Elephas maximus indicus: one gene and its partner. The protein of the gene in region 1 interacts with the protein of each later gene in a biochemical or structural test. Links are inferred from orthologs where the notes say so. Each region holds a gene or a part of one and is shown in the gene's direction. Other genes may lie near its edges.

Region 1 (16,226 bases):
CCTTCTTGCAGGCCCTGGCCCCTTTCACCCTCCCTCAGGGGTCCTGCACTAGCTGCCCCTCTCCCCTGCCCCATCTCTGGGGGATGCCCCCTCCCAGCCTCTGACTAACCCTTCCCAGTGGCAGCGGCATGTCCTGCCCCTGCTGTGCCCATGCCAGCGACTGCCCAGGTCACATGGGCCACATCTGGCTCCATCTGAGCATACCCCACCCTCCCCTCCCCTACCCCTACCTCTCCCCTGCCCAGGAGCTAGAGCAGGGGTCCTACAATGGAGCCACTCCTTGCCCTCCTCCCACGCAGCCTCCCTCCCCCTGCCTCCTCATCCTGTCTCCCAGCCTGGGTTCCCTGAACATCTTGGCTCCATCCTTCAGCACCCCCTCCCTCACCATATCCTGACTCCTTGGACCCCCTTCCCAGCCCCTACTGGGCAGCAGATGGGGAAGAGGACATTTTGCCAGCTCTGAGCCCCTAGAGCTGTTCCAGGGTAGGGGGAAGCCTAGCATCCCAGGAATTAGACTCCCCCTAGCCCAGCCCTCCAACCTACTGTCAGTTTAGGATTGGGAGGGGTTGGGATGACCCCCAAGATTTGTGGGCACGAAGGGGTGTAGCTGAGCCTGCAGGGAGGAACTGTAAATCTCCAGCCTCTCTGAGCTGTCTAAGAGCAGGGGACGGGGGGAGGAGCCTGGAAGGCCCTCCAGCTACTGGCCTCCCTCCTCCTTCCTCCCTGCTTAGCAACCGTCACCCAGTAAATATTTGCCCCACCAGGATCTGGGGCTGGAGCCCAGGCATCAGCCAGGGCAGCTGCCCCCTCCTCAATTCCTGGGGCTCGCCTGTGCCTACTCCCCACTTTGAATCCCCCTGGCCTCAACTCCAGCTGTGATTACCCTCCTACCCTGAATCTCAAAGTTCAGTTCTTCCTGCCTCATGGTAGACTTCCTTCGCCACCTCCACCTGTTCCCACTAGGACCTCTCCTTTTGTCCCCAGCTCATGAGGGCTCAACTCTCTCTGGTCCATCCTCTACCCCTGGATCCACTAAGGTATCTGAGTGACGCCCCACCCCTAAGCCAGACAGGTCATCTGTCTCTCCCCACCACAACCTGCTCAGACCCCAGGCTGCTATGATTCCTGGTACATCACCGGTACTTACTGAGGCCCAGGACCCTACCCACAGCCCCAGGAGAAGGGGAAGAGGGGATGTGGGATATTTTGCTGGACACCTTGTCCTCCCTCCCCAGGCCAGGAAGTTCCTTGTCAGGAAGCCAGCACCATTTTCACCTCCTCTGGGGGTACAATTGAGGGGACCGTGGCCAAGAGGAAACAGATGCCCCTTGGCCTCATCCTGGGCAGCCTGAGAAGGCCAGGGCCTGAGAAGCACGCCATCCTCAGCCTCTGCATCCTGCTCCTCCCAGCAAGGCCTCCTGCCACCCCAACCCCCCGCCGGGTGGTTTCCCCCATTACCTATCACTGTGATGATGACCCTCAGGGGTCAAGGGCCAAAGCAAGGTGAACTCTTGGGGTGCCCTGTAAACTTTGGGCTTAGTGGGCAAAGTGGGCCAATGCATGCTCCTCTAGGGTGGGTCTGTGGGCTCGTTTAGGGGCAGGGAATCTGGAGGATCGGACTAATGTAGGTCTAGAAATGAGGGGGTTGGGCTGCATGATGCCTGCCAGAAGTCTTCTCCCAGCTCTGAAGTTCTAGCTTTTAGGCAGTGAATGACAAGGTATTAGCCCAAGCCCAGCCCCTCCCCCCTCCCACAGAGCATCCCTCCAGAGCTCCTGATCTTGACAGAGACCCTACCCATCCACCTGACCCACTTGGGCAGCCCTGGGATAACCAAGGGCATATACAACGGTGGCCATCAGTCGGAATCGACTCAACGGCAACTGGTTTTACTCATAACCACTGCTCGAGAAAGCACCGTTTGTCCACCACACTCATCAGAAATCTGCAGCTTCACCACCCTCCTTGCTGTATCCACTTTCCTACTTGATCCCCTGGCCTGAATGTCAGGGGAGAGCCTTCAAAGGGGACCCCGAGGAGCTTGGTGGTTGCAGGGGCTGGGACAAGAGCAGATTCACCATAAAGCTAATGAAGGTGAAGCTTCAAGTCCCCTTCGTTGCACAGGCCTTTCCAAAGCCCTGGGAGGAGTCTGCTGTTGTTTCCACATGGTCATATGTCTGTGTAAAATTCGTGAGATTTTTTTTTTTTCTTTTAAAGAGGGCCTCCCCTCAAAACTGTATAAGCTTCAGGTAGGGTGACCAACTGTCCGGTTTGCTCTGGACTGTCCCAGTTTTAGTACTGAAAAGTTCTTTGCCCTGGGAAGCCCCTCAAGGCCTGGGCAAACCCGCCACTCTAGCTTAAGGTCTCCACAAACCTGGATAGGGGTGAGGGAGAAAGGGGGCCCTTCTCAGCCTCACTTTCTGGAAGTGTATTGGGGGCGAGGGGGCTCTTCTCTCCAGCTCCAGCCCTGGATTTGTGGCGCTTCTGTTTGTTTCCTTGGCAACAGGGAAAGGAAACCCCCATTTAGGAAGCTGGGGAGGCCCCAGCAACCACACACACAGACACATACAGACACACACGCAGCCGCCCACACGCAGGCGCCTGCGTCAGCACCAGCCGTCAGCGCTGCCCGCCTCCCGGAGAGGCGGCCAGCCCCGCCTGAGCCCGATTCAGACCAGACCGGCCCTAAATGATCCTCCACCTGACCCCGCCCACGCCGCCGGTGCCCCGCCCCTTCCCAGCCCTGCCTAACCCTGGAGGTGAGGGGTCAAAGCTGGAGGAGGGTGGAGAGGAGACAGGAAGGAGAAAATGCCACTGCTCAATTTCGTCCTGCCCGCTGCCTGATTTCTTTTTGGCTGGTTCATAGTCTGATGTGTATCATGACAGTCAACCGAAGTTCAGGGAGCCTGGGACACAGGGGAGTGGCTATCTTGGCCCAGGTGGGTGAGGTGGGTGGTTTGGAATGTCGGGAACTGACTTCATGGGCAGATTCTAAGATTTTGCTGTTGGATTGGGCTCCTTGGGATCTGGGCTGAAGAGAGCTTGGGAGATAGTTAACTTGGAGGCAAAAACCTGAGGTTTGGGTCCTGGCTCTGTCACTTGTCAGCTGTGTGGCCTTGAGCAAATCAGTTAATATGTCCAGCCTCAATCTCCTCATCTGTAAAATGAGGATAATGGTGCACCTCAAAGAGATTTGAGAGAATTACGGTGATCTCAATTATGAAAGGGTAGCCAACAGTGAGACCTGCCCAGGTGTGAGGTGTCAACAGTGAGACTTGCTGGGGTGTGAGGTGTGAGGAGTTGGTTCCATACCCATTATCCAGCTGCTCATTCCAGCAGAGCTGGAGCAAAGAAGGAAAACAGCCCCACTCTGGTTCCGCACCTGGCCTGTCCGCATCAGAGGGACATCAGTGCTGGTCCTTTGGGGTGCCTTCATACCTCAAAATCTGTCTGGGGTGCCATCTCATCTCCTGGGGTAGTGTGGGATGGGGTTGGAGCACTATTTTAGGGGGCCTGGCCCTGCCTGGTCATGTGACTTGGGGAAATTTTTCCCCTTCAGGCCTCAGAAGCCTACCTATAGAGAGAAGGGGTTATTCCTCAGAGCCCTGGGAGACTCCTGGAGGGGGATCACCAGACAGAGGTCCCCCAACCTCCCTCCTAGGGAGGCTGTACCTGTCATTTAGAATATTGGGTTTTTTTTTTTTTTTTAAATCATGAGGGCTTTTTTGAGTGAGGTTCTGTGGCCTAAAAGAATGGCTGTAAATCACTTGCTCCTTCTAAGGACTAGTTTTAGTTATCTAGTGCTAATGTAATAGAAATACCACCAGTGGATGGCTTGAACACAGAAATTTATTTCCTCACAGTTAGGAGGCTAGAAGTCCGAATTCAGGGTGCTGGCTCTAGGGGAACTCTTTCTCTCTCTGTCGGCTCTGGAGGAGGGTCCTTGTCTCTGTGAGCTTCTGCTCCTGGGAGATCTTCATGTGGCCTGGCATCTCTTTTCCCCCATCTCTGCTCTCTGGTTTAATCTCTTTTATATCTCAAAAGAGATTGACTCAAAATACACTAATCCTGCCTCATTAACAAAGACAACCTATTCTCAAATGGGATTATAACCACAAGCATAGAGGTTAGGATTTACAATACATACTTTTGGGGACTTGGGTTGGGTTAATTCAATCCATAACAGGCTTCCTCCCACCCCCAATCAGCTATGACCCTACTAGGACATGGAACCAGTTCATTCTAGCTGGAAACCCTGCTAAGAATTTGCATTTGTATCAAGCTCCTAGGCGATGCTAATGCTGCTGGCTAGGGACCAATTCTCAAAACCACTAGTAGAGCCCAGTCCAAACCAAACCCACTGCCATGGAGTCAATTCCAACTCATAGCGACCCCATAGGGTTTCCAAGACAGTAAATCTCTACAGAAGCAGACTGCCACATCTTTCTCCCAAGGATCCCTCGGTGGTTTTGAACCGCCACCCTTTTGGTTAGCAGTCAATCACTTTAACCACTGTGCCACCAATGCTCCTAGTAGAGCCGCGGTTCTCAAAATTTATTATACATAAGAATCACCTGGGGATCTTGTTAAACTGTAGATTCTGATGCAGTATATCTAGGGTGGGAATAGAAATTCTCAGCAGTGGTTCCAGTCCACACGGGACAAAGGCCACAGTCTCCTCAGCTGTGCTGTTGTTGTTGGACTCATAGGCCGACTCACAGCCCTGTGTGCAACAGAATGAAACACTTCTGGGTCCTGTGCCATCCTAACACTCAGCCGTGTTACCTCAGGCCAATCACTCAACCTCTTTGAGTTTTGGGTTCTTGGCATATAAAATGCAGATGATAATACCTACCTCATAAAGTTGAGGTGAAAATTAAATGGGATCACCTCCACACAGTCCTTAGCCTGGTGCCTAGCACAAGGTAGTGGCTTCTTTAGAACAGGCAAGTTCTTCCATGCTCAAGGTTATAACTATCACCTGTGCCTGAGTGACTCGGCTGTTCAATAGCTGTTTAGTGCCAGACCCTGTGTTCAAAGGATGAATAAGTTAAGAACCCTCCCTCAAGAAACGCTAAAGGAATTGCTAAGCCATGGCCTTGGGTCTCTAAATCACCCCCACTCTCCAGAACCTCCTCCAAAGAGTCACCCCTTCCCACCCCCATGGAGGAGTAGAACTGCCTCCCCAATGGCTTAGGATCCCGTCTGAATGCTCCTCTCTCCCACTCCCACCTGTCCAGTATTACAGCCTGACAATTCCAGTTCTGCTACTATCCATATGACCTTAGGCCAGTGGTTCTCAACCAGGGGCCATTTTATCTCCCCTCCCTAGGGACATTTGTCAATGTCTGAAGACATTTTTGATTGTCATAACTGGGGGCGGAGTCACTTAGTGGCATTTAATGGGTAGAGAGGCCAGGGATGCTGCTAAACACCCTGCAATGCACCGAACAGCTCAGCTCAACAAAGAATTATTTGGTCCTTTTTTTTTTTTAAATGTCAGTGGTGCCAAGGTTGGGAAATCCTGCCTTAAATGATTTCAGTTTTCTCATCTGTAAAATGGGGATAATAGTAGTATCCATTTGCTAGAGTTATTATGTAAATTCAGAAGATTATGCAAACACCCAGTGCCTACCAACAGTCCATAAATATTCCCTAGAATAATTGTTATTAGGATTCCTCTGAAACCTTCCTGGTTTCATCCCCCTGTTGAGACTCAGCCCAGTTTAGCTTGTCTTGCCAATACCAATGCCTCTGACTCTTTCCTTACTGGTCTTGATGCCTCCCTTCTCCTTTTGACCCCAAGCCCTACCACGCAGCTAGAATTTTCTGGCTCAGAGCCCATCCCAGTACCAGAGCTCTTCTCAGCTCCCTGCCTCCACCTCCCACTTCTCTTCCCGTAGTCTCCGACCTCACCTCCCTGCTCTTGCCAACTTCAGCAACTCTACACAGACTTCCTCCCAGCACCAGTCCACACCGCGCATCTCTCATGCTGCCAGCCAAAGTGGCCTAAGATAGTGAAGCACACCCTAGATTTGGACCAGGCTATCCGGTTTCTAGTCCAAGCTCTGAGCTCTGGCTATTACTTACTGTCTAGTCTTGGGAAAGCAAGCCTCACCTTTAAAACAGGGAAGTAACCTCCAGCCCATGAAGGGGTTTTGTGGACCAAGTTAGAGAATGTATTTGAAAATGTACAACTATAAACGGCATAAAAGTATGATTCGCTGTTTGAGAGCATTGCCCTGCTTTATATTTTTATTTCCATAGCACTTAACCACCTTCTAACAAACTGTAAATTTGTATCTTTTGTTTATGGGCTCCACTAGAATATCAGCTCCATGAGGCAGGGATATTGGTCTGTTTTATTCACTGCTGTTTCCCCAGTGTCTAGAACAGTGCCTGGCATGTAGTAAGTGTTCAATAAGTGTTTGTTAAATGACTGAATTCACTGTGTATACAGCACCTCTGTAGAGTCCCTAGATCTCTCTTTTCCAAGAAGCCTTCCTTTAAATGCATTTTACCTTATTTAATCATTACAACACTCCCATTTTACAGATGAGGAAACTGAGGCTGAAAGAAGTGAGTCTTGCTTAGAATCACTCTTCCTGAAAAGTAGCAGGGCCAGATGCATTTGTTCATCCAAGAATCACTGAGCATCTGTTGTGTGCCGGGCACTGGCCAGATGTTGGGGTCACAGATGACCAAGACTTGGGCCTTTCTGTCCCTCAAAGAGCTCATCTTTGAAGGGGGGGATGTAGAGGGAGGCCCAGAATGCTATAGGAGCACAAAAGAAAGGCCTCCACCAAGATCATTGGCCTCTAAGACAGGTGCCCCTTCCCTCCCCAAGCCATCCCCTGGTCTTCACCCACCATATCCTGAGATCACTCATTAACTCTCCAGGCCCCAGCCTCCTGGGGTTCATTTAGAATTTATTATCCAATTCAGTGCCCTATGCTACTCTTTGTGCTTGTTGGTTTTGCCTCTCCCTGTCTTTTTTTTTTTTTTTTTCAGTCTACCCTACCCGTGGGCAGCTTCCTCGAGGGCCAGTGTAGCATCGCTGTACCCTGTCCACCCTCTGCACACTGAGGAGCTCTGTCCTCATGTGTCTAGTAGACTTTCTGGCCATGTTACACATGAGCAACCAAGGCCCAGAGAATTCAGTAGCTGGTCTGGCATCACGCAGCAAGAGAGAGGTAGGTTTGGAACCTGGTTGCCACCCAGGAACAATTCCCCTCCACCCTCACCCCAGCAGACCCAGCCCTGTGGGACCTGATCTCTTCTGCTCTCCTGGGAAAGCAAACAGATAGCATTTGGGGGGCCAGGGTTAGGATGAAATGTTCAGGAACAAAGGCCCACTTTGAAGTTCAAATTAGGAATTGATGCCATTGTGGTGGGAGGGAAGGCCTTTTGGAAAGAGCCCAGAGTGAAATTTGGGGTGAAAGCCCTGTTCCTTTCTCCTGCCCCTTCTCCCCAAAGATGAGGTGGTCCAGGATAGGAAGAGTTAAGTGTGGTTTTGCCTTCCCAGCCAAGAGGGGAAGCCAGGCCACTGGGTGGGGCGGAGGGGGGGCTCGGTGCCAGGGAGGGGCTGAGGCAGCGGGAACAGCACGAGCCGTCCCCTCACGTTTCTCTGGCTCAGCCACCCTGCCTCTGCTCTTGGTTTGGGGAACAGGAGAGGGAGAAGCAGAACAAGGCTTTTTGTTTTGTCTGGGAAGCTGAGGGTGGGGTGCTGCACCCTGGGGGAGAGGGCTGCAGGGAGGGGAGTCATGTCCTGAGTCCCAGAGGTGGGTGCTTACCCCACTGGCCAGTCACCCTCACAGAGATGGGGACCTAGGCACCCCCTCCCATCAGTCCCTCCCTGAACAGAGTCCCTGCCTTAATCCCACTACTGCCCCTTGTGCACTTTGAAGCCTGGCTCCAGAACCCAGAACTGAGGAGCTGCCCAGCCCTGCTTCCCCTGTCTATTACAGAAATCCTGCTATCTGGGAGCTGTAGGAGTTAGCAACATAATTTAATTTCCTGGGTTCCTCATCAGAGAATAAACTGTGAGAGGCATCAGGCGGGTCAGGCAGGCAGATGGGTCCTCGAGCCTCAGCACTGACACCTCTTAGAGTGGATTAGGTGGCTGGTGGGGTCAGGGCCAGGATTAGGGGGGGGAGCAGGAGGCTGGTCAGAGGGTCCTTGGTGAGGCCCAAGGCTCCAAGGCCAGGAAGTCTGGGGTCCTGGGTGCTCCTGTCATGTAAGAGTCCTGGTTCCCTCCCCAGAGCCAGCTGCAAATCAAACCTGGCCAAGAGGAGTGTAGTGAGGGAGTGCTGGCCTTTGTAGCCAGTGAGGCTGTGGGTTCTTGGCTATCCCTAACCCCCTCCTTTCTGGCTGGAACTGGGATGAAGACCCAACATTGGCTGCCCACGCCCTGGCCCTGCTCCCCCTTTTAGGCCCCTCTGGGAACCACAAAAATCTGGGACCTGGTGTCCTGGCAACATGATGAGCGCACGCACAGCTCTGGTATCTGTTTTAAATTATCCATTAAAATAAGTACAGTTCTGGAAAAAAATAAGTACAGTCCTGGAGTTGGCTGGGTGGGGTGAGGAGCAGAAAGGGACTGAAAGGGGGAGAAACCTAGGCATCCTATTTTCCAACTGCTTGGGACCAAAGGAAGGGGGCAGGAGATGGGGGGTGCAGATGCCTGGGTCCTATTCTTGGCCTTCTCTGGGAAACTGGGCTTGGGTGTAAGACCCAACACTTGGTTTCGAAGGGAATAAATTCAGACAGAAGATAGGAGAAAACCCAAAAAACCCATTGCTGTCCAGTCGATTCTGATTCATAGCGACCCTATACGACAGAGTAGAACTGCCCCATAGGGTTTCCAAGGCTGTAATCTTTATGAAAGCAGACTGCCACATCTTTCTCCCAGAGCCGCTGGTAGGTTCGAACTACCAACCTTTCCGTTAGCAATGGAGCTCTTGTGCCATCAGAGCTCCTTGAAGATGGGGTAAAGGGACCCCCAATTCCTGATTCTACCCCAAGACTGAGGGGGTAAAGGAACTCAGGACCCAGAACTTCGCTGTCCCCCGGGGGAACCCCGGCATTCTTTCTCCACCCCACCCCTGGCATGCCGAGATGCAGCTTTGAATGGGCTGCCCACGTGCGGAGGGGGAGTAGGGGTGACTCACTGTTACTACGGGGAGGGAAGGGGGGGAGAGGGAAGGGGGAGCCTGTGGTGGAAGCAGGGTGAGTCACCCTGCTAGCCACCAGCCTCCTCCCTCCCCCCACTTTCCTGTAGCCCAGCCTGCCCGCCTGGACCCCTCCCTTTGCTTTACAACTGGTTCCCCCTTCCCCCTGCCCTTTGCCCACCCACTCTCATCCCTTGGCTCTGCCCTCTACCCCAGAAGGCAGAGGGAGTCGGGGAAAGCTTGGAGCTAGGAGGACTGAGTAGGCAGGAACCAAGACGCAGGAGCTTCAGCGAAGTCCTAGGCAGAAGGCAGTGCGCGGGAGAGGGTGGGGCCCGTCTCCGCCCCCGTCCCCCAGGTCCTCTCAGCTCTTCGCCGATCCCACCCGGCCCCTGTGGGTATGTGACGGCCCCTTTAAGAACAGTGGCCACTCCTCCTTTTCCATAGACCTATTAGAGCCTTTGCCCCGGCGTCAGTGACTCAGAGAGTTCGCGGGAGCACTGCATCTGCACTAGCCAACCCGGATCCCGAAGTCCGACAGCGCCCGGCCCAGATCACCACGCCTGCCAGGAGCAAGCCCAGAGCCAACCGGCCGGCGCGCTCCGACCCCGAGCAGTCTCTGTCCTTCAGCCCGAGCCCCGCGCCCTTCTCGGGACCCCTGCCCCTAGGGCAGCGCTGCCATCCTGCCGGCCATGGAGACTCCGTCCCAACGGCGCGCCACCCGCAGTGGGGCGCAGGCCAGCTCCACCCCGCTGTCGCCCACTCGCATTACCCGGCTGCAGGAGAAGGAAGACCTTCAGGAGCTCAATGATCGCCTGGCGGTATACATCGACCGTGTGCGCTCACTGGAGACGGAGAACGCAGGGCTGCGCCTTCGCATCACCGAGTCCGAGGAGGTGGTCAGCCGCGAGGTGTCCGGCATCAAGGCCGCCTATGAGGCCGAGCTTGGAGATGCCCGCAAGACCCTCGACTCGGTGGCCAAGGAGCGCGCCCGCCTGCAGCTGGAGCTGAGCAAAGTGCGAGAGGAGTTTAAGGAGCTCAAAGCGCGGTGAGTGCGCCCAGGTGGCAGCTTGCCGGGCCCGGAGCAGAGAGGGCAGGCGGAGCGGCGCCCTTGCCGGGCTACAGGAAGGGAGCGAGAGTGCTTTGGGAGGCTGATAAGTTTGCCATATAGTCTCCTCCCTCCCCGGAACTGCCCCAGGCGAGGGACTGGCGGTGCCAAGGAGAATAGTTGTCATAGGACAGAGAGGGAAGGGGTCTCTGGGAGAGGGTGGGAAATACAAGGAACAGTGGGAGCATCCGGGCCAAATAGGGGCTCGTGGCAGGCGGCATTCCGTTAGGGTGGGGTTTGCCTGCCATTTGGAGCCTGGGGGAGAAGCTTGGTCAAAGCAGAACTGGCCCTGCTAGGTATGAAAAATCTAGGCACCCAGGGCACACTGGAGTGGGTGAGAGGGCCCTATTAGAACTTTCTTGGCAGCCTTGGCACTATGCCAGATTTGGGCAAGCTGGCTCTGAGCACGTGATGCACACTAAGACAGAACTCCCAGGCTGGCAGATGTCCAGTGGTGCTGGAGAGAGGTCACAAGGCAGGGTGACCCCCTTCTTCCCCTCCAGGGGCGTGGCAGTGGCCTCCTTGGCATGACCCTTTCCTGAATTCTTGCTAAGAGTCAGAAGCTCTTTCTTACTCCCTACATGCCTGAGACCTTTCCTGAGCTCTGACAGGCCCACCAAAGGGCTCCAGGAGTGCAGCTCCCCCGCAGCTCCCACAGCCCTTGGCCTGCTTGGCCCAGGAATGCAAGGGAGGGAGGGAGACCGAGGGCAGAGGCTCCAGGCTCAGGAAGTTGTGTTATGCCCAGGTCTGGTGGCACCCCCCCCACCTTGGTCGTCTTGCCTGGTGTCTGCAGAGGGTCAGGCCTCTATCCCTCCCTCTCCCTCCCTGTCTGAGTGAGCCACTTTCATTTTCCCAGCCAAGCCCGAGCAGTCTTTGCTCTTGGTCTGGCCCATCCTCTCAGCCGCTGACGTTTTTGATCTTTGCCTTATTAAACTGCTGGAATACAGTGACATTTTTGAAATCCAGCCGTTGGAAGCTTCAGGCCACTCCCACCTCACCCAGTCCTGCCCCACCCTACCACACCCTACTCCACTCTACCCTTTGGAAGCCTGGAAGTTTAGGCCCTCTTCTTCCAGCCCCCCAAGAATTTGGTTTCCTTCTCCCTGCTCCCCTTTCCTCTATGAAGACCCAGGCCTAGAGATCCCAGGAGGGCCTGTGGGTTTTGACCTCCCCTCTCCCTCCGCATCATTTTCTCCAAACTCCTGCTCCTTCCAGATCCCCTCTATGTATTCTATGGTTGTTCTACCCCTTCACCACCCCTGACCCTTCACTACACTCTGCTCAGAGGTATAGTGGGTGTGACCAGATCCTATCACCCTTCTAATGAGTGGAAGGAAGTTCCTTGGGGAGACATGGGTTCAACCTGTTGAAAGAGATCACTCCTATCTTTTTTCCCTACTAATATGAACAACTTAGCAGGACAAACTGGAGGCAAACAAGGTGTGTCCCTACCCGCACTGGACTGGTTGGAAGAATTAAGAGAATTAGTGCTCTAAACTAGTCCACTCAACTGCCTAGGCAGCCCCTTGCCTTCCAGATTCTTATGAAGGACATCTTTAGCAGATGTTTTTCTTGAGAAGACATTGATCTGGCCCACAGGATGAGCAGCGTCTATAGTCTCTTGCTAACTCAGCCACACCGGTCTGTCTCTTTTGCCTTCTGGTGCAGCTGTCCAGGCTTGGGACACCAGGCGGGTGTGTGTGCACGTGGGGCAGAGGCGGGGGTGGTGTGTGTACTTGTTATATTTAGCCACCTGCCTCTCTTCTCCCCCACTGATCCTGACTGGGCTTCCGGGAAAGGGGGGCGGGTGGTGCACACCTGGATCCCAGGCTGATGGGAAGTAGGGGTGAAGGGACGAAGGGGGCTTGGACTGGAGTGCCTGTCCCCTTTTATGTCTCCAGTAGGAGGAGCCAGGATTTGGTCCTCCCTTTTGCGCCTGCTGTCCTCAGGGTGGGGTGGAGAAGTGGGTAGAATGAAGAGTTTGGGAGAGGAAGAAAGGTATTGCCTCAATCCCTCCCACTGAAGCTTGGAGAGAAGGTGTTGTCTGGTTTAATGTTTAATTAGAGCTCAGAGTTCAGGGTCAGGCTTGGAGTTGGGATGCAGAGCTGCCTGTAAGACCCTGTAGCAATCCCTGGCCCAGGCTGGGTACCTTGACCACACCCAGGAGTTTGGGGCTTCCTTTTGCTGGGCTAGGTTATAAGCTTCCCGCAGAAGGCCCTCCTTCCCTCCCCCCACCCACCCAACCACACACACACACTCTTTTTACCCTGGAGCCTGAAAGATTTGGATACCCAAGTGCAGGGAGAATGGGAAGGTTGAGAGTGATAGGGAAGGCCCGTCTGGGGGTCCAGGCTGGGAGCTGGGCCCCACCCCAGGTAGGACAGCTGAGTGGATGACTCAGATGCTGCCTCCTCCTTCCTACCCTGGTGGCTTTTCAAGAGACAGGGTGGACATAGCAGATGTCTTAAAGGAGGGGATGGAGATCTGAATGTGTTAGTGTTCTATGCCCCTTCCTACTGCATCTTGGGGTCCTTTTCCTCTGGTGATGTTCTAGAATCAGGGTTCTGGACAGGCAATATGCACAAGTGGTTCTAGAGTTGAGTCCAGAGTTATGGGCTTGGGCTGTAGGGGTTGCTGGGGTTGCCAGGGTCTGTGCCTTCCCATACGGAACTGACCAAGGAAGCCTGAGTCACAAGTAGGGTGATCCCAAGCCCACAAAGCAGAAGTACCTCTTCCCCCCGGACAGGGCTCTGGTGCTTGATGACTTCCTGGATTGTCCACCTTATGCAGCCTCACTGAGAGGTGCAGGCTCTGATAGGACAAGGATAGCAAAGGCCACAGAGGTTTGTCCCATATCACACACAGCAAGTGGATAACAGGCCAGGACTTGAGCCCAGGCCTTCTGACTCCCAGCCAAGTACTCTTACCATTAAACCTCACTTCTCTAGCTTAAGGGATAGGTCAAAGGGCTCTGAGGGTGGGGGCTAGAGGCCCAGCCCCTGGGTTCTGAGCTTCACTCCTGAGGCCTGGAGTTTCTGCTCTGGGACCTGTGATGCCTCGATGCTCTGCTCTCCTGCCAGGGCCTGTTAGCACTTGATCAACAGCCCTTGCCCCAGCCTGTACCTGGAAAGACCTGTGTCCCTGCCAGATCATGCATGGTGAGATCGAGCTCTGGGAGGCTACAGGAGGCTGGGGATTCCTGTCTTGAGATTGTCTTGAGACTCGTCATGAGCATTGTCTACCCAGAACAGAAGGAGATTATACACTTTGGCAGAGACATTAGGAGAATGGGGTAGGGGCCTTTGGGTAGCCCTGGGCCCCAGCCCTCATCTGAGGGTACCTCTTGGTTTTACCTTTCCCATCTCCCTGCCCTGAAGTCCATGTTTTGATCTAAGGGAAAGAAGAAGGTACAACTAAACCTGGGGACCGAGAAGTACTTAAGGAGCCCGGGAGAAACAAAAGAAAGAAAAATTTCTCAGTAGGGTCCTGATTGCCTTCCCATGAACAATGCCCTTGGTTAGTACTTCTCCTGGCCTCCAGGAGCCTGAGATCCTGACTCAAATGAGAAGTATCCATTAACCTCACTCCCAGCCCCTCCCCCAGTGATCCAGTAGCTCAGTGTCAGGCTGAGCCAGGGACAGCTGCAGGGACAACTGGTAAGAGATGCATTCACCTACCAGCTGTACCCGCTGTTCTCTTCCTCTTCAGCCGCTTACCACCTCCAGCAGCTGCAGCAGCCAAGACCAAGCCTGGCTCAGAAGCTAGACCCAAGGGAAGTTCATCCCATTCCCACCCCTTTGGATTCCTAGTACTGAAGGTGACACAGGCTGAGCCTGGACATGTCTAGAGAGAGGGTTTTTGGAGAGGTTGTAGGGTCTCCTATCCCTTAACAAGAGCCAAGGTAATCCACCAACAAATTGCCAGGCAGGGGGGGTAGTAGAAACAGCCCTGACCCTCAGTGTTCTTAGTTCTAGACTTGATTTTGCCACTAAATTGCTGTGTGACCTTGAGCAAATCACCTCCCCTCTCTGGATTTCCCCAGCTATAAAAGAAAAGGGTTAGAGCAGAAGGTCTCCAGAGATTTCTCAGGTTCCAAAGTAGTACAATGACCCACAAAATGAGAAAACCATCTTCTAAAATGCCAAACTATTAATATGCAAATAAAATACAATTAACATGAAAATAATAGCTAATGCTACTCTCAGTAGAAGTATTTTTCCCACAAGCTGTGGAATTAAAAGTACTATCACCCTTCACTATTTCCCAAAGAAGGTTTATTAGAAATGGTTAATTGTTATGACATTAGCCTCTTGGCTTCTGCTTTTGTTGTTATTGCTAGTTGGGAATAACAATTAGTTTCCAATGCCTCCCCTTCAGGACAGAGGGAAGGGCTGTATCATGTAGCAGGAAAACAAGACAGTAGACCCAGGAATGACTCCCATCGGCCTATGTTGGGGGCAAGACTGGAGGCCCTAAGAAAGTTAGGACTGTTACCTTAGAGTTGGCCAGGTTTACGTAGACACCATGTGTCTGGAGCCAGAGGGAGATACCGGTGACCTTGAACTGCCCCTCTTCCATCCTTCCTGTACCCATACTGGCTCTCCCAACCTGAGGCTGAGCTGTGAGGGGTTTTGGCCCTTACCAGTCTCTTAAGGAAGAGGACAGAGCTTGGGAAACATGCAGGAGGCTCCCTCCTGTCCCTTTGTGGGAGAGGGAGCCGGAATCCCGCCTGCCCAAGCCAGGAATAATTCTGGCTGGGCTCCCGGGCACGGCAGGGGAGCTGAGTCACGGTACAGGACAGAATGGATGGGAGACCCTGAGCTTGTCTAGTCAGGAAAGGCAAGCCTGAGGGGTGGCCTTTTCTTGAGAACTACATTCGAGTTGCCGCAAGAGGGATGAGGATCTGTGTCTGATGGGGGGAAAAAATGCAAGGCAAACAGGAATCATGAGTCCTTTTAGGGTCAGCTCAAGGGAGCCAGAGACTCTTCTTTTCAGGGGATCCAGTTTCTGGGCATTTTTGAGAAGGCTGGTTGTGACTGCCAGGGCTCCCCCTTCCTCCCAAAGTTCTGACGCTGCCACCCTCTGCCGGCTGGGAGAGAGGCTTACATGTTCCCAGGCTGGAGCTGGAATGCAGTGGGACCAGGACTCCTAGATTCCCCACCACTACCACCACCTGCCCTCCACCCCCCGCCCCCCTGCCCTGCTTCCTTTCCTGACCTGGGGTGCGGCTCTCACCCCTTCCCAGTACTGTTAGGGTTAATTACTGTGAGCCACCAGATGGAAGGTTAATGAGTCCTAAGAAGGGACTGCTGAGTTAGCTCATGTGGGGATCCCCCTAAAGGTCCCTCCCTTTAGCCCGTGGCCTCCTTCCTTCCCTCAGGACATTCTACCTTCTTAGGCCATCCCCTCCCACCCCTCCACACCCCACCTCCCCACCTCACCCCCACTTCTTTTGGTCTGTCTCCTTGTCCCCCGCATTTTTATGACAACACAGGAATGACTTCTGGAGAGATAGGCCGGGAAGACTGAAAGTGGGTTTTGGCAGGGGACCGCACAGGGGATGGTTGATCAGAAAGCCAGCTGCCTGTTGTCCAGGACCCCAGTGCCCTGGCCTCCAGCCCCAGGCTTCTCCTGCCTCTGTACAATGCCACGTTAATACACCCAGCAGCTGTGACTCAGGCCTGGCCCCCTGCCAGGCCAAGTGCCTCTGCTCCTGGGAGTTGCATTGCATTGAGTCTGGACATGTAAACAGCTCCTATCCTCCATTTCAGCGCCAGTTCCCCCTGCCCCCCCACCCCAGCCCCTCTCTCTGCCTGGAATCAAGACTTTGCTTTGTCTGGGGGGAAGAGGGGACAGCTGGGAGCCTGGTGGCTCTGGAAGGGGATCTGAGGGGCCTTAGACCCCGGGCATGTTTGGCAGGTGTCACACCCAAGACAGGAGGAAGCAGGGCCAT
Region 2 (15,764 bases), on another chromosome or scaffold:
CTTCTCGGTGGCCGGCATCTCGGAGTCCCGACTGTCAGCGCCGCCTCCCAGAGCCGCGACCGCCGCGCTCTGGCCCGCCCGGGCGTGCGAGCTACTCATTTTGAGGCGCGAGGAGCCGGGGGGCGGTGCTGCAGCCTCGGCGAGGGGACGGCCCTTTAATTAAAGTTGCAGGCACCCAGGAGCGCGCAGGCCGAGGCCGACAGCAGAGGCTGGGCTGCGGAGAGAGCGAGCCCTTTAAAAGCGGGTGGTGGGCGGGACCGGGGGGGTGGAGCTTTGACGGGGCGGGGACGCGGGGCGGGGCTTCCCGGGCCGCGCCCGTCCCGCCCCGCCCGTCGGGATGCCCACCCCCGTGGCCCTTAACCTGCCGGTCTCCTCGGCAGCAGCCGTGGGACCCCCTGGGCCCATGGGAGGGTCGCAGGGCCGGACAGACGGAGGATGCGCCCTGGCCCCGCGGCCTGGCGCTCGCGCTCAGGGAAACACGCTCGGGGCCCCAGGGCGAGGAAAGGCTGAGCAGCGTTGGGCACGGAATGGCTGGGCCTCTGCATCCACGGCAAACAAGGGACTTTCCTTCCTGGCCCCCGGGGATGGGGTGGCGCGAGTTCCCGCAGTCACGTGGGGCTTAGGCACCTGGGTTCCCCGCCCGGGTCCCTGCCTCCCCGGGTCTCTGCACCCCTCCGCGGCAGAGGCGGATTAACCAGTAAGCAAGGTAAGCACGGGCTTAATTGTGTTTACTTACTAAACTGTAGTGCACAATTTCACAATATGCGAAAAACAAGTGAAATTCTGCACCACGGATTAGTAAGTAAGCACAAGTAAACCTGTGCGTACCTTGCTTATGGGGTAACCTGCTCCCAGGCTTAAGGCCTGGGTGCCCAGTAAAAGGCCTAGTCTGCCCAGCAGACACTCCAGCAGCATCTGCCGGAGCCGGGGCGGGGCGGGGGGAGCTGGGGCCAGGCTCTCTTCAAGCCCTCTGCGTGGAGAACACGAGGGAGTCACGGCTGGTCGGCGGCCCAGCCCACAGGCCAGCCACCTCCCAGGCCCCTGTCCCCGCTGGCCTGGCGAGTCTGCCGGCCCCTGGCCTCTGCACCTGTGCTGCCCGCTGCCCACGGCCCTCTGCCTGCCTTCCTGCCCGCCCGAGGAGGAAATGGGGCATTGGGCCAGGAGGGCAGTGGCAGGCGCTCCAGGAGTTCCCAGCCAACCCTGTAAGGGGCCAGGAGTGCCAATGAGCGCTGGCAAAGGACAAGGCGTGATGCGAGTGGGGACAGTGAGCCAGCCCACCGCACCACACCACCCACCTGGGGGACCAGATGGGGAGGAGGGGGAGGTTTGCTCTCCTGGTGGAATGACCCCTGAGCTGAGTGCCCCCCAGGAGGGATGGGGGTAGCCTTCCAGAACCAGAGGGGCCTGCTGGGGGAGGGGAGCCTCAAAGAAGACTTGGCAGGCTGTAAGCACTGGGGTGTGAGCGGCTTTGGGCAGTGTGGCACTGCAGGGGTGGCCAAAGGAGAGGGAAGCCAGGGCAAATGTGGGGGCTGAGGAGGGCCTGCCGAGGTGCTGGGACTATGGCCCAAGGGCAGTGGGGAGTTCTTTTCTGGCTGATAACTCTGGAGACTGTGGGGAGGCCCTGGGAAGACAGGGACCGGCAAAGCCCAGGGCATCCTGTGCAATCACAACACATCCCCTTCTCTTATGTATTTTTTTCCGGAAAGGCATGTCTATGGCCCTACTGCTCGATTCTTCGATGGAGGCACAGGCTAGTAGTAATTCCTTTCTCTGCTAAGACCAGTGGGAGAAGGAGGCCTGGGTCCTCCAACAAGTCATGCCCAAATATGGTTGATTCTTACTTGGCCCTGGGTGTCTGCGTGACCTGCAGTGGGGCTGGGATCTCCAGCCAGCATCTCTTCAGCCTCCCAGCATATCTCTTTCCGGTTGTCTGTCACCCCACTGAGTTTTCTCCACCAACGGTGGTGGCAGGGGGTCCAGATGGCATTTTCCAGTACTGAGGTCCACCCTCAAATGCTCTGCCCCTCTCCTGAACACTCTCAGACACCTGTAGAAAATTTCCCATCCACCGTGTCTGAGGGCTGGGGTGTAGGAGGGAGGGAAAGCTGTAAAGGGGCACCCAGATGAACCCCTCCCTGCCAGGCCACGGGTTTAGAGTCGTTCTTCTGGTCATCTTCCCCCTCCCCTGCTTCCAACTGGAAAACAGGCTCCAGGGATGGCAATCAAGAATTGATTCTGTGTCCACTAAGTGCCATCCAAAGGGACCATCTGTGTTCATTCCTTAACCTTCAAACAGAGGGCAGGGAAACTGAGTCAGAGCAACTATCCAGTGGTCAGCTTCAGCAAACAAGGGGACATAAGTTGGATGTCCTGGCTTCCAGCCCTAGGCTTTCCCTATTTGGAGAGAGGGAGGGGTGGGAGTGTAGAGGGTCCTTGCACCCAGAAGACAGAGTATCACCACCAGATGGCGCTCCATCTCAAAGCCCCCAGATCGGGCAGTCTGGGGAAGCCAAAATCCAGCTCTTTCATATTTTCCCTTATTTGGAGTAGATTCTTGGATGTTAGGCACACCCAGCCCCCACCCCAACCCTGGCCCTCAGACCCCAGGCCTGGCTCTCCAGCTATAGCCCCTAGTGCAGAGGCTGTTCAGCTGGGACGCCTATGGAGCCAGCTGGTTCTAGGCCTGTGTAGCCAGGGAGCACTGGGAGGGAGAGGAACAGCCAACTGGCACAATGAAAAGAGGCCTGGGCTGGCACAGCGAGTCTAGGTGAGGCAGGGGAAGGCGCCCATTTCCTGAGCACCCTTCTCTGTGCCCACCTTGGTTGTGCCACCCAAAGCACCACATACAAACGGGACAGTCAGCTGACTTCACCCACTTCTCCTGGCCCCAGTGGCATGGGAATCTGGGGCCAGAGCTACTCACATCCTGGCTGGCAGGGAACATCCAACTCAAAGCCAACCTGGGATGAGCCCAGCCAGTGAATCTGGCCTGGCGGTGCCTGGCCACACCCCACCACAGCTCCATAGAGCCACAGAGCGCAAAAGCCCAGGAACCAGCTTCCCATGCCCTGGCAGCTGGTGCCCTGTGGACTCGTGCCCTCCCAGCAGGCACACTAGCTACAAGGTGTCCTTCCAGGTGTCCACTCACCCTCAACCCACACAGGGTCCTACCCTCTGGGTCCTTCCTTCTCAGACAGCCTTGAAGCAGCAGTCTCATGGACACCCACGCCTGCACCCATCTCCTACCAAACGTTCAGGGACTCCCATGGCCTTGGGCTCCCAGACTCCTGACGCACACACCGGCTGGTGGGTAAACTCGGGGAAGCTGCTCCCGGGCACCACTCCTGGTGTCCTGCTGACGCACCCCAGCTCCACCTGGTCCGGGCCTGGGCGCGTGCTGGCGCCTGCGTTCTCTAAGCTTCTCCGCCCGCCTTGCCACCCTCGCCCCGGTGCAGCGCGGCGCCTGTCCGCGCGGAGCCCGGCCTCCAAGATCTTACCTGCTGTCCCAGCGGGCGGCCGGCGACCGCGGGGTGGCGCCTGGCTCGTTTTCGCGCCCGTGCCCGGCACCTCCTGGCTCCGCTGGCGTCCGCTGTGCGCCGCGCGCTTCCACGCGAATGGCCCGCTGCCGCCCGCCTTCTTGTTGGCCTCACCCCCGCCCCGCGCCCGCCCCGCGCACGGCCCGGCCCGGCCGGGCGAGAAAGCCTTAATTGGTAAAAATCGCCCAGGAATCGGGGGCGGGGGTGAGCGGCGAGCTCGAGCGCCTGGGCCGCACTGGCGACACCGCCCCCCGGGATGAGCTCACCACCCGGCGAGGGCCGCCAGCACGGGCGTGGGGGGACGTCCCGAGCTCCCGCAGGGTCGGCAGGGACCACACCGGCTTGCTGAGCTTGGGGGGGCCAAGCACTCCCCACCGGAAAAGGCCCAGCTCTGAGGCCACCTCGTCCAGGAAGTCCCCCAGAGCCATGGCCCCCTGCATGAGGCCTGCCTCTGCCCCAACCCTGGGCTGGCAAAGCAAGTCGGTTTCCGCTGCCCTGGTGGATGGGGAGGGGGGCAACAGGCAGGTGCAGGTGTTCACTGAGCACCTACTACCTGCAAGGCTCCAGTGGGGCTGGACTAGAGTGACTCTGAGGCCAGGATGAGCCTTATGAATCTGACCCCGCTGGGTGCCAGGCGTGGCCTGGAGTGGGCAGCTGAAGCATATTGGATTCTGAAGACTTCCCCCGGCCCATCCCACCTGATTAGATGCAGTCCCCAAGCCTGGGAATGAGCAGCCTGTCTGTGATCAGAGTGGGCACAGCCACACCCTGGCATAGCCATGCTCCTTCCTGTTCTGTGTGCCTGTGCTTGCCTGATAGCTTCAGATGTAAATCAAATGTCACTTCCTTGGGGAAGGTCACGTAAAACAGTATTTTTTAACATGTTTGCCCACAAACTGCAGTAAGAACCACATTTTACATCCTTAGCCAATGTATGTGCGCACACACACACACAAACTGAATGAAACAAAATGACTTGCAAAACGAGAGTTTCCCTTACTACCTACAAAGCACTCTGATATTTTCTATTCTACTCTACTTCCTCAGAAAAGGAGAAAGGAAGGGAGGAAGGGAGAAAAGAAGGGAGGGAGGAAGGAAGGAAGGGAGAAATGGGGAAGGAAGGAGGAAGGTCGGAAAGAAAAAAGGGAGGAAGGGGGAAGGAGGGAAAGAAGTGAGGAAGGAAGGAGGGGAGGAAGGAAAGGGGAAAGATAGGAAGGAAGGGAGAAAATGGGGAAGGAGGAAAGGAAGGATAGAAGGAAAGAAGGAAGGGAGGATAGAAGGAAAAAAGGATGGCAGGAAGAGGGGAAGAAACGGACAACAGGGAGGGAGGGTGTAAGGAACGAAATAGTTCAGGCACCACCTGCTGAATTAAGTTGCTGATTTACAGTTTGGGAAGCACTGATAAAGAGGCACTGATGGCCCTACTGGTCTTGCTGTCTTGGCTAGCTCTGCTTTCAAAGACCTTTCACACCTTGACCCTTACTGGGTGCTTTCTAACAGTGCCAGGGGTTCCCTCTCCTCCTGCCCCCTCTGGTGGGAGCGCCCCCAGCTGGGGAGGGCAGTGGGTTATCTTCACATGATAGGTGAGGGACCTGGACTTGGAGATGGGAACTCACAGACCGAGGAGGGGGCTGTGCTGGGGCTCACAGCCAAGGCGGTCCGTGGTTCATCAAGGAGGGAAACCACATGCCTTTCTGCAGCTGCGCTCCAAGCCAGGGGTACAATAGGTGGAGGGAGCACTAAGGAGGCAGTGGTTTCTTAGCAGTGTTCGGGACTGCCACCTCCGTGTGAAATCAACTACTGCCCCTCTCCCCCACCACACACACAAAACACATGCAGCAGCTCTGTCTCTTCTTTCAGGTCTGGGCGGAATAAATGTTTGTACAGCACCAGGTGTCCTTCGGTTGAAGATACAGGGAAACTACCAAAGTCAGCTGCATTCCTCCCACCAGTCATCCCAACAGTACCAAGATAAACTGACCTGTTCCAAGGTTGGAACACAACACTTTCCTTGAGAGACCTTTAGTCAACTAACCAGTGTTTTAATATTGGTTGTGACAGTGTTCAACATATCAATTGTCTCGCAACTTTTGTAACCATTGGAGCAATGTTTCAAAACATTTGAAAACTAGTTAAAACCCAAAGGAGCTTTAATACCCTTGAAGAGAAAAGTGTCTTTTAGCACTAAAAAAAAATCCTTATCTTAAAGAGAAACTTAGTAGCTCAGTGATCAATGGTTTGCTTGTACATGGATGCTGAGAAATGTATTTATGGTGATATATTTTTCTCCATTTTAACTTCTGATCTTGCTGGGATTCCAAGTTGTACAATCCACTGTTTAGAAGCCATTCTCCATCCTTAAAGGAGAGACTCATTTTTCTTATTCTTGCCTTAGAATCGCGGCTTCCACAGCCCATTACCCCCGCTGCACTGGCTGCTTTTTGTGACCTCTGTCTGCAATCCCTTTTCCAATTGTCCACCAGAGAAATTTGTCTTTTTCAAGGCTCAGTTCCAGTGTCTCCTTTGCCTGTCCTTCCCAGGACCAGCTCCTGGGAACAGTTTTCCCTCCTTGAGAGCTCTGAGGCTGGGCCGTGGAGCACCAGATGCTGGCTGAAGAAATGTTTCATGAATGAACTATTGGACTCGAGGTTCCGGACCCCACTCTATGTGATGGAGGTGCAGAGGGCATCCTAGCTCGGATGGTCAAGGCCTGACCTAGTGTCTGGTGGTCTGGGATGGAGCTGCACGGCCATGGGTGACCATCCACAGTTCAGCTTCCTGGTGCCCTCTGTGGCGGGACCTCATAGTGAGGACAAAAGGGGGGGGGACATAGGAGGCAGAGTGCTGAGGCAGGTGCAAGGGGGTGGTGTTCCCTGGGGAGAAGGCAAACCTAGAATTCCTTGACCTCATAAGGAAACAGCTTGCATCAGTATGGGGAGGGGTGGCACGGGGGAAGACTGAGCAGGCTGTAAGGGAAGCCAGAACCAGCATCTCTGGGAGAGGGGCCAGCATTGCAGAAAGGCTGAGAGGGGCTGGGATCTGATCTTGCCAAAACTCAAGATTCCACGAGGCTGCCTTTGCCCAGCTCACAGCCCAAACGGCCACCTCCTCCCCTGCCCAGCCCATGGCTCTCCCCTCTGTATAGGGCAATGTAGTGTCTTCAGGGACTCCAATGCTACTTGTCACAGTTGAGACAGAGCAGGGCCCCACCTTGATTCTAAAACTTGGGCAACAGCAACTCTTCGGAAGGGTCTTTGTCTTTGGTCAAACCATGGTCTCTCCTCTGGCCACTCCCCACGTGTATACCTCTTCCCCACCCTGAGCAAACCTCCCTGGAGAGCTGGTCTGCGGCCCGCACCAGCTGACCAGAGCCCCCTCTCTTTTCTTCTCCCCCCCACATGAGACTTGGGGCTAGCTCCTCTCATCCACTCCAGGGAGAGCCCACCAGGCAGCCCCACACTCCATGAGACTGGCTTTGTCTGAGCATGACTACCACCTCTTTCCTGCTCTCCAAGAGACAGCACTTTTCCTACCAAAGCCTTGCCTCCTCCTAGCCATACTCCACCTTACATCCACTGCCTGCCCTGGTTTGCTCCGCTCAGCCCCCATGTTTGCCCTGGCCTCTGTCTCCTTTGGCCACTCCTGCAGTGCCTGCATGTGAAAGCTGGACAGTGAATAAGGAAGACTGAAGAAGAGTTGACGCCTTTGAATTGTGGTGTTGGCGAAGAATATCGAATATACCATGGACTGCCAAAAGAACGAACAAATCTGTCTTGGAAGAAGTGCAGCCTAAATGGTCCTCAGAGGCAAGGATGGTGAGACTGCGTCTTACATACTTTGGACATGTCAGGAGGGATGAGTCCCTGGAGAAAGACATCATGCTTGGCAATGTACAGGGTCAGCGGAAAAGAGGAAGACCCTCAACGAGGTGGATTGACACAGTGGCTGCAACAATGAGCTCAAGCATAACAACGATTTTAAGGATGGTGCAGGACCAGGCAGTGTTTTGTTCTGTTGTGAATAGGGTCGCTATGGGTCGGAACCGACTCGACGGCACCTAACAACAACAACAGCAGTGCCACAGTACCCAAAGCCGCTCACACCCCAGTGCTCACAGCCTGCCAAGTCTTCTTTGAGGCTCCCCTCCCCCAGCAGGCCCCTCTGGTTCTGGAAGGCTACCCCCATCCCTCCTGGGGGGCACTCAGCTCAGGGGTCATTCCACCAGGAGAGCAAACCTCCCCCTCCTCCCCGTCTGGTCCCCCAGGTGGGTGGTGTGGTGCGGTGGGCTGGCTCACTGTCCCCACTCGCATCACGCCTTGTCCTTTGCCAGCGCTCATTGGCACTCCTGGCCCCTTACAAGGCTGGCTGGGAATTCCTGGAGCGCCTGCCGCTGCCCTCCTGGTCCAGTGCCCCATTTCCTCCTCAGGCGGGCGGGAAGGCAGGGAGAGGGTGGTGGGCAGCGGGCAGCACAGGTGCAGAGGCCAGGGGCCGGCAGACTCGCCAGGCCAGCGGGGACAGGGGCCTGGGAGGTGGCTGGCCTGTGGGCTGGGCCGCCGACCAGCCGTGACTCCCTCGTGTTCTCCACGCAGAGGGCTTGAAGAGAGCCTGGCCCTTACTGAGCACCCAGGCCCTGAAACCGGGAAGGGGTGCAGGGATCCGGGCGGGGGATCCAGGCGTCTCGGCCCCACGTGACTCGGGGGGTGCACCTCTTCCCGGACGCCCCGGCCCCGCCCCGCCCCGCCCCCACATCTCGGCCGGTTTCTGCCGGTTCGGCTTGCCCGCAGGGCCCGCCCCTCTACATCTAGTCAGAGCAAGGCAGCGCGTAACGTGTTTGTTCACCAGCCCCGCCCCTCTCCGGGCGCTCAGCCGCCCCGCTATAGGCCCTGGGGGCTTTTCAGCTGGGTGGCTTGTGTACAGGCTCCGCCCTTCTGTCACGTCTAGACCGACACCGAATACGCCAGCATATAACGTCGTCGTTCGCCAGCGCCGCCCGGCTCGCACCGCCCGGAGGATTTCCGCCGGTTAGGCTCGCTCACTAGGCCCCGCCCCTCCCTATGCCGTAGCCCGAACACGCCGGCGTCCGACTTCCTTGCTCGCTAGCCCCGCCCCTTTCCGGGGCGCGCAGCCCTTCCCCGTTCCCACTTCCAGACGTGTCTGAGCTGCTTCGGCAGACTCTCAGGTCCCGCCCCTCTGCCACCTCTAGCCCTATCCCGCTCCTTTTTGGCGTTATTGTTCACCAGCCCCGCCCCGCTCCGCAACCAAGTCCCGCCCGGTTCTGCCGCTTTGACTGGCGTGCGGGCCCCGCCCCCTCCTGCCTCTGGCCCAATCGCGCGCGTTTGTGACGTCTTGGTTCACCAGCCCAGCCCCGCGCCGCCTAGCTCCACGTCCAGACCGGTCTGCGCCGGCTGCGCTCTGGCGGCCTGTTCTCCCGCCGCGCGCGCATTCTCGGCGCCGGCGGTGCCCGCGGCCGTGACGTGATCGCGCGGCCGCTGCTCAGGCGCCCTCGCAGCCTCCTCCCCCGCCGCGCCCCGAGGCAGCCTTTGCTCAGCGTCGCCGGGCCGGCCTGCCCTCAGGCCTTCGCCGCTGCTCGGGCTCCGTGCCGGCAGCGCCATGGACGACTACGCGGTTCTGTCGGACGCGGAGCTGGTCGCCATGCTACGCCAGTACAACATCCCGCACGGACCCGTCGTGGGTACGCGGAGCAGCGGCGCGGGCGGGCGGCCGGGCGGGCGGCCGGGCGGGCGGCCACCTTCCGCGGCCCCGCGGCCCTGATCCGCCGCCACGCGCTCTGTGTTTGGCCAGGCTCCACTCGCAAGCTCTATGAGAAGAAGATCTTCGAGTACGAGACCCAGAGGCGGAGACTTTCGCCCCCGAACTCGTCCGCCTCCTCGTTCTCCTATGGGTTCTCGGGTGAGGGCCCCTCCGGTCCACCACCGGAGACCAGGGCGGACGGGGTCGCGAGGGTGTGGCAGGGGCACCAAGCGGGAGGCACCTGGCAGAAGGGAGAGGAAGTCCAAGGGCAAACGGTCCCGTTTCCCTCTCTCGATCGCACAGATTTGGATTCAACATCTGAGGACTCGGATAAGTACGATCTGCCCAAGAAAGAGGATGCCTTACTATACCAGAGCAAGGGTAAGACAGGTAGAGGAGGGGCGGGCCGCCACCTAACTTCTCTGTCATAGAGCCTGGTTTCGGGGAGAACCTGAGACTTCGACCCCCACCGCCCCTCACCAGCCCTAGAGGGGAGGAGATACGGTTGTCATAGACACGAAATGGGAGCAGGTTAGGGGGAGACAGATGCAATGCCAGCTCTGCCACCACTGCACCCCTCTCCCCAAGGCTCTAATGATGACTACTATGAGGAGAGCTACTTGCACACCAGGACTTATGGGGAGCCTGAGTCAGTGGGCACATCCAAGAACTTTCGGGAGCCCATGGCTTCGCTCTCAGATGCTGAAAGTTTTCGCCGTCAGGTGAGCTGGCCATTAGGTACCCCAGGCACCTTTGATGCAGGTAGAAACTGAGGTGACCAGATCTGGGTTTCGATCAACCAGTTGGGACTCCTGGGTGGAAGTGGTGGCTCCTTGCAGGTTCCCAGGGGCTCACAGGCCTCCGGGGAGAAGTAGGCTACACAGTGCCCTACTTTGGGCAAGGGGATCCCGAAACTGGAGCACACTTTAGCCCATGGTGCACCCTGGCCTGGGATCTAGGTTGGAACTCTGAGAGTCCTGGGGGAGGAAGGAGGGTACTAGGGCTTAGACAGCCAGGACAGTCACTGAGCAAGTGGCAAGGCCCCTTGGACAAAAGGCCAGGAGTCTAGGAAGGGTCTGGAGGGACAGAGTGGGCTGGCTGGGGGAATTTGGACTTGGGTGACGGGGTCCTGCCAGCCTTGCCAGCCAGTCTCCTCCCCCTCTCTTCTTTAGATGCGTGAAGACAATCTTTTCACTTCCGAAGAGGAGGGCAAGGATAGGTAAGTCGTTGAGCGTGGCCTATACTGACAGATGGCCAGGGATAAGGGCTGGTTCTGGTCACCAGCTCTCCTGGCCTACCTGCCTGCTCCCTCTTTTGCCTCAGGGAATGTCCCTCGTATGCCAGGGACAGTGCCTACCAGAGCATCGCGTACTACCGCCCCATCTCGAGCATCTCCAGGGGTACCCTGGGCCAACCCTATTATCCTACCACCTCCTCCACCTCCTCCACCTCCTCATCTTCATATTCTCCACCTTCGTGGCTCGCCCGCCGTGCCATCCGGCCAGAAAAGCAGGTCCCGGGAGCCAGTCTGAGTCAGGACCGCCAGGTCCCTCTCTGGGGCCAGTTGCTCCTGTTCGTGGTCTTTGCTGCCTTCCTAGTCTTCGTTTACTATTCGATGCAGGCAGAGGATGGCAACCCCTTCTAGGTGGATCCCTGAGGGCCTGGCCTCTGAGCCAGCCCTTCTCAGAAGTTCTGGCTCCACTGCCATAGTGTTCTGCTGGGGGCGGGGGGTGGGGCTAACCTGTGTGTTCCAGCTGGGCTGGGCCTGGCCCAGATCAGTGCTTTGACCCCTGCCTCATCCTGCCAGGGAGGCAGCAGGCCTTCCCCCAGAGCCTGCTTCTCTCTGCCTTTAGGGCTCTGGGCAGGCACAACCCTGCTCCTTCAGAGAATACTGTCGTTGTCACCATGCATGCCTCCTGTTCAGCATAACCTTCAGGGTGAGGGATTAGCGGAAGGCAGCCTGACTTGGTTTTTTGTGAACACACAATAAAAAGACTTTATTTTTAACGTGTTGGCTCTTTCTCTTTTGGGAGCGGGTCTGGCAGGGCCTCCAGGATCTTGGTGTGAAGGGTCGCTATCAGATGTTGGGTTCTGACTTGGTCTTGGGGCTGGGCTCGAATGCCGCCCAGGAGTACCGTACGTGTGTGTTTCGTCCCCCGGCTCATTCCCTCACGCCTCTATACTTATCCAGCCCTCCCGCACAAGATGTGTGGAGCACCCTCCTGGAAGTGCAAAGCTGGATGCACAAGGCTAGCTGTGGGCGGTTTATCTGGGCAAAGCAGACGCCAGCTTAAATGCCAAGGGCAGGACACGGGTGTCTCGCTGGGAGACTATCTCCCAGTTACTGGGAATGACTTGAGGAAAGGCTTGCATACTCTGAGGTGCCTCTTCCTCCCTAGGCAACAGGCCGTCACTTCTCTAGATTCTTACACTAATCCCAGGTTTTCCCCCATGGGTGTGAGTTTCACAGTTTTCAAAGTTTACCAATATTTTAACAGAGGGTGCTAAGGAAACCCAGACCAGAACTCCCACTTGATTCCCTGCACGTGGGCTCTGTGCTGCCATGACAGCAGAAAGGCACACAGGTGCTGCTGTCCAGTCCCCCGGGCTGGCCCTGAGGGGGTGGGTCCCTGGCATCCGCCCCTCTGGGTCTTTAATCAGCTCCTTGCTGTGGGCAGTGGGACTTGGCTGGCCCTGGGCCTGTCACCCGGGACAGCCCCCATGCAGCACCCACATGGGTACACCCACAGGCTCTGCACCTTCCGGGCTCCCGGCCTGTCTACAGCCACGTGGCAAGTTCATGGTAGAGGTGGGACTAGGACCCCTTCCTGGCTCCTGGTCATTTCTCTTTGCTGCATACTACTCGCTCCACATTTTTTGGTGCTCTTAAAAGTAATATGTGGTTATTGTACCTTGAAAACATGGAGAAAAAAATGAGAGACGTTAACTGCTGATAATTTTATGATCTCATGCAGCATCAACCTCTGTTTTGGCTCAACCTACTCCCACTGGCTCCTCCCCCAGTACCCAGCACCCACAGGTCAGATGTCCTGAGCCCGCAATGCAACGAACTGAATGGTGGCCCTGCATCCGGGGCTGAGACCTGGACTGTGTGGCAGGTGGTGGGCACAGGCCAGGAGTGCTATCTCCCTGGGCGTCCACAATGGGGACCTCGTGCCAGGCCTGCCTCTGATCAGTGAGCCATTTATGTGGGGTGGGGGCCCTGACCTGGGCACTGAGAGCACAGCTCCCTCTGTCTTGGCATCGGTGAGGAGGTGCACGCTAGTCCCCAAGCAAGTGTCTCTTGAAAGCAGGGACAAGCGAGGGAGTAAGCAGCCTAGCACAGTTCTCCGACCGTGGCACTGCTGGAGCCCAGCACTGGGCAGAGAGGAAGGAAGTGGAGCCTATGTGGACCCTGGGGTAGGTCGGCAAGGGTGACACCCCAAACCTCTGGAGTAGTTGTGTGTAAGAGGGACAGCAAGAGAAGAAGAGGAGTTGGGCTTGGGAAATTCCCAAGGCTGGGAGAGAGATTTCTGGGCTTCTGGAGGAAACAGCCCTCTCTAGGCCCCAGGTCCCCTGTGGTCAGACACGGGTGTAGAGCAGGGAGGGAGCAAACAGTCCCTGTCACTATGACCTAGTCTCCCCCTTAGTCATTCGTTCACTCTCTGAGGGCCCTGGGTGTCCATCCCCAGTTCCAGATGGAGGGCTCTTGGAGTCCCCAGAAAGCTCCTGAGTGTTCCGTGGCCCCCAAGAACCCTCCACCAGGGCTTTCTAGGGCTCTGCCTTCCCTCAAGGCTCCTCCCCCACCTGAGTAAGTACCTAGCTCCCTGGGTGAGCAGCTAGGTATTGAGGGCAGCAGGGACAGGGCCTGGCTGCTGTTGAGACTGTGCCCCTGGTCAGAGCAGGAATCTAGGAGTGGCACCCCCTGGGCTAGGAGTGGCACCCCTGGGCAAGGTGCCCGTGGGTTGAGGTGAGGGAGACCAAGCCCCCATTCAGGCACCTGTGGCCCCTCTCAGGCCAGCAGCCTCTGGTGGTGGACTGGGAAGGAGGGGAAGCCAGGCCCTGCTCTGCAGGGCCTCCTCCCCAGGGCTGCGGGACAGGGCCAGCATGGGCTGGCAGGCTTGTTGGACAGCCAGGGGAGAACAGTGGCTGATGGCCCAGGAACATGAAGTGCACCGGGCCTGACCCAGTCCAGGTGAACCCGGATGAGCTCAGGCTGCACCATGACCAGGCTCCCCAGAGAAGGGCCCAGTGAGCACTGCCCTGCCCTCCCCACGCAACCTGCTGTCCTTGGGCTTCAACAGTGCTGGGAGGGGTCGCCCAGGCCTCCATCACTGACCACCTGCTCCCTTGGCTGCCAGCCTGCCAACACCCCGCAGGAAAGCAGAGAGCCAAAGGGCATTGCCCTGTGACAAAGCTGCAGGTAAAGCTCTTCAGCCAAGTCAGAGCCCCCCCCCACGAGCATCAGCAGGAGGCTTCCCGAGTCCCAGCCCAGGATGGATTGAAGACACGTTTCCACGGAGCTGAGGACTGTGATGTCTGGCCCCTTGAAGAACACACTTGTCTGCCACGCCAGAAGCTGCAGGTGGTGAGGAAGGGCCTGGGCACAGCCGGCCCGGGCAGCCTAAGCAGGTGTTATAACCACATCACCATCACACATCACCGACTCAAGTTGGGTGGATAGTGACAGCATGTGACCTGCACTGAGGGCCCAGCTTGCCCAATGATGCCAAGGCAGCTGTCCTCAGCAGTGTCCAGACCAGAAGGGGTGGGTCTGTCTGGCTACTTGCTGGGGAGCCCTTGCCACCTCTGGGAGAGACACTGGTGTGCAGAGACAGGCACCCAGCACCAGTGCCAGGGACTGCCGTGTGGGACCATCCAGCAGCACAGGGTGGGGGGCAATGCGAACAGCCCCACCACCTGCAGCTCAGTTCTGCAGCTCTTTCCTGAAGCTGGCCCCAGCGAAGGTCTTGACCCAAACCAAGGCTGAATGAAATGGCCTTGGAAGGCTATGTTCCTGCTGAGCTCTGTGCCAACCAGAGCCCCAGGACCTGAAGCACCCTACACCCTTGCAGCTCCATCCGTCACCCCAGAAAGGAATGGTCCCCTCCTGCAAGGACCAAGGAAATGCTGGAAGGGTTCTCGCTATTCTGGGCCCCCAGGCCCCAGCCTGCCCCCCACCTCCCACCTCATGCCTGTGGTGGGAGGCACCGTGCATCCTGCCTTCAGGGGAACTCACCTTGTCCTGTTCCCCCAGGGTGTCCCGGGGAGGTGTGGAGGATCAGAGCAGAAGCCACCTCAGTCATTATCAGAGCCACTGAGCACTGTTGGCCACACAGCTAGGTGATGGCCCCTACTGGGGAGGTGAGGATAGGCCCTGGGGCAGACTGAATTTAAAGGCCAAAGTTGGTTCACAAAGAACAGAGCCCACAGGGCAGCAAATCAGGAGGCCGAGGGACTACACTACAGGCCCCACAACAACCCCAGAAGGCCTGGAGACCACTAGCCCCACCTCCCCCCATCCTGTGGGCATTTTCCAGCTCAACGTTTTGACACCCAATGCTTCACGGAAACTTGCCTTCAGGTTTCCCAAAGGGGATGCAGTCTGCGTTGGCAAGTGTATTCAAACATCATTGTAGCAACGCCAGAAGGAGTGTGAGCAGACGTCCAGGCTGCGAGTTCTTCCGGCAGAAGCCCAGAGAGAAAGTACACACAGCTCGGGGGCCCCCACAGTCTCTGTTGTGGATGCTTTGGTGGGTTTGTTTTCCAGCTGTGGAAAAGGAAACCACTCACCTTGGCCTCCTGTCCACAGGCCCTGACCATGTTGGCCCGGGGCTGTCGTCTGCTGGCCCTGCCTAGACAGAGGGAGGGCATGCCTGGGAAGTGGAGCTGCTCAGCATCAGGAGTGGCACATCCACAGCCTCATGAGCCAGCTGGGGTAATTTGTCACACAGCCACCAATAGCCAATACATGATTTCAAATAGGACAGCTGCTTTGAGGCCAAAGTAAATCAACCAATGAGAAACACCAGGGGCTATCAGAAGACCAGCAAGAAACATAAACCTAAATCCTCTGCCTGACCAAACATAAACCCCAAAACCACAAAGTCAAGGACTAATGACAAAGTGGGGAGAAAACAGCTGGGAGAAGTGACTAAGAGCTTCTATCATTAGCTTATAAAAGAAAGAGCTGTTAAAAATCAACAAGAATAAGCCCAGCAACCAACAGAGAAGGAGAGGAACACAGAGCAAGAAAGGCAAATGACTTCAACACAGAAAGTCGGTCCTTTTGGAGACAATCTGCTCCCGTAGGGAGAGAGAAACTTGGCACCGCCGCCCCCCTCCCCCCCCCCCCAGCGATCCCGAGAGGGGGAAGGAGGGCGGGATCCCCAGAGCTGCTTGTTCCAGGGACAAATGGTGGCTGGTGACCGTCATTTCAGTCTCACCTGCCGCTCTGCTCCCGTTAGACAACAGGCA

What was found.
Region 2: the proteins of LMNA (region 1) and EMD form a complex in vitro, tested with the Homo sapiens proteins (4 studies listed by BioGRID and IntAct, with this or other methods). The link is inferred for Elephas maximus indicus from reciprocal best matches to the Homo sapiens genes LMNA and EMD.

Annotation. Positions count from the first base shown.
Region 1 is NC_064821.1:193,906,206-193,922,431, forward strand, and holds the start of LMNA (lamin), read left to right. Parts: upstream 1-9,616; 5' UTR 9,617-9,857; coding exon 9,858-10,213; intron 10,214-16,226.
Region 2 is NC_064846.1:2,091,253-2,107,016, forward strand, and holds EMD (emerin), read left to right. Parts: upstream 1-8,909; 5' UTR 8,910-9,146; coding exon 9,147-9,228; intron 9,229-9,338; coding exon 9,339-9,446; intron 9,447-9,590; coding exon 9,591-9,668; intron 9,669-9,875; coding exon 9,876-10,009; intron 10,010-10,459; coding exon 10,460-10,506; intron 10,507-10,610; coding exon 10,611-10,932; 3' UTR 10,933-11,272; downstream 11,273-15,764. Other genes in the region: FLNA (filamin-A), read right to left, coding at 1-99. UniProt on the Homo sapiens protein: Stabilizes and promotes the formation of a nuclear actin cortical network. Stimulates actin polymerization in vitro by binding and stabilizing the pointed end of growing filaments. Inhibits beta-catenin activity by preventing its accumulation in the nucleus.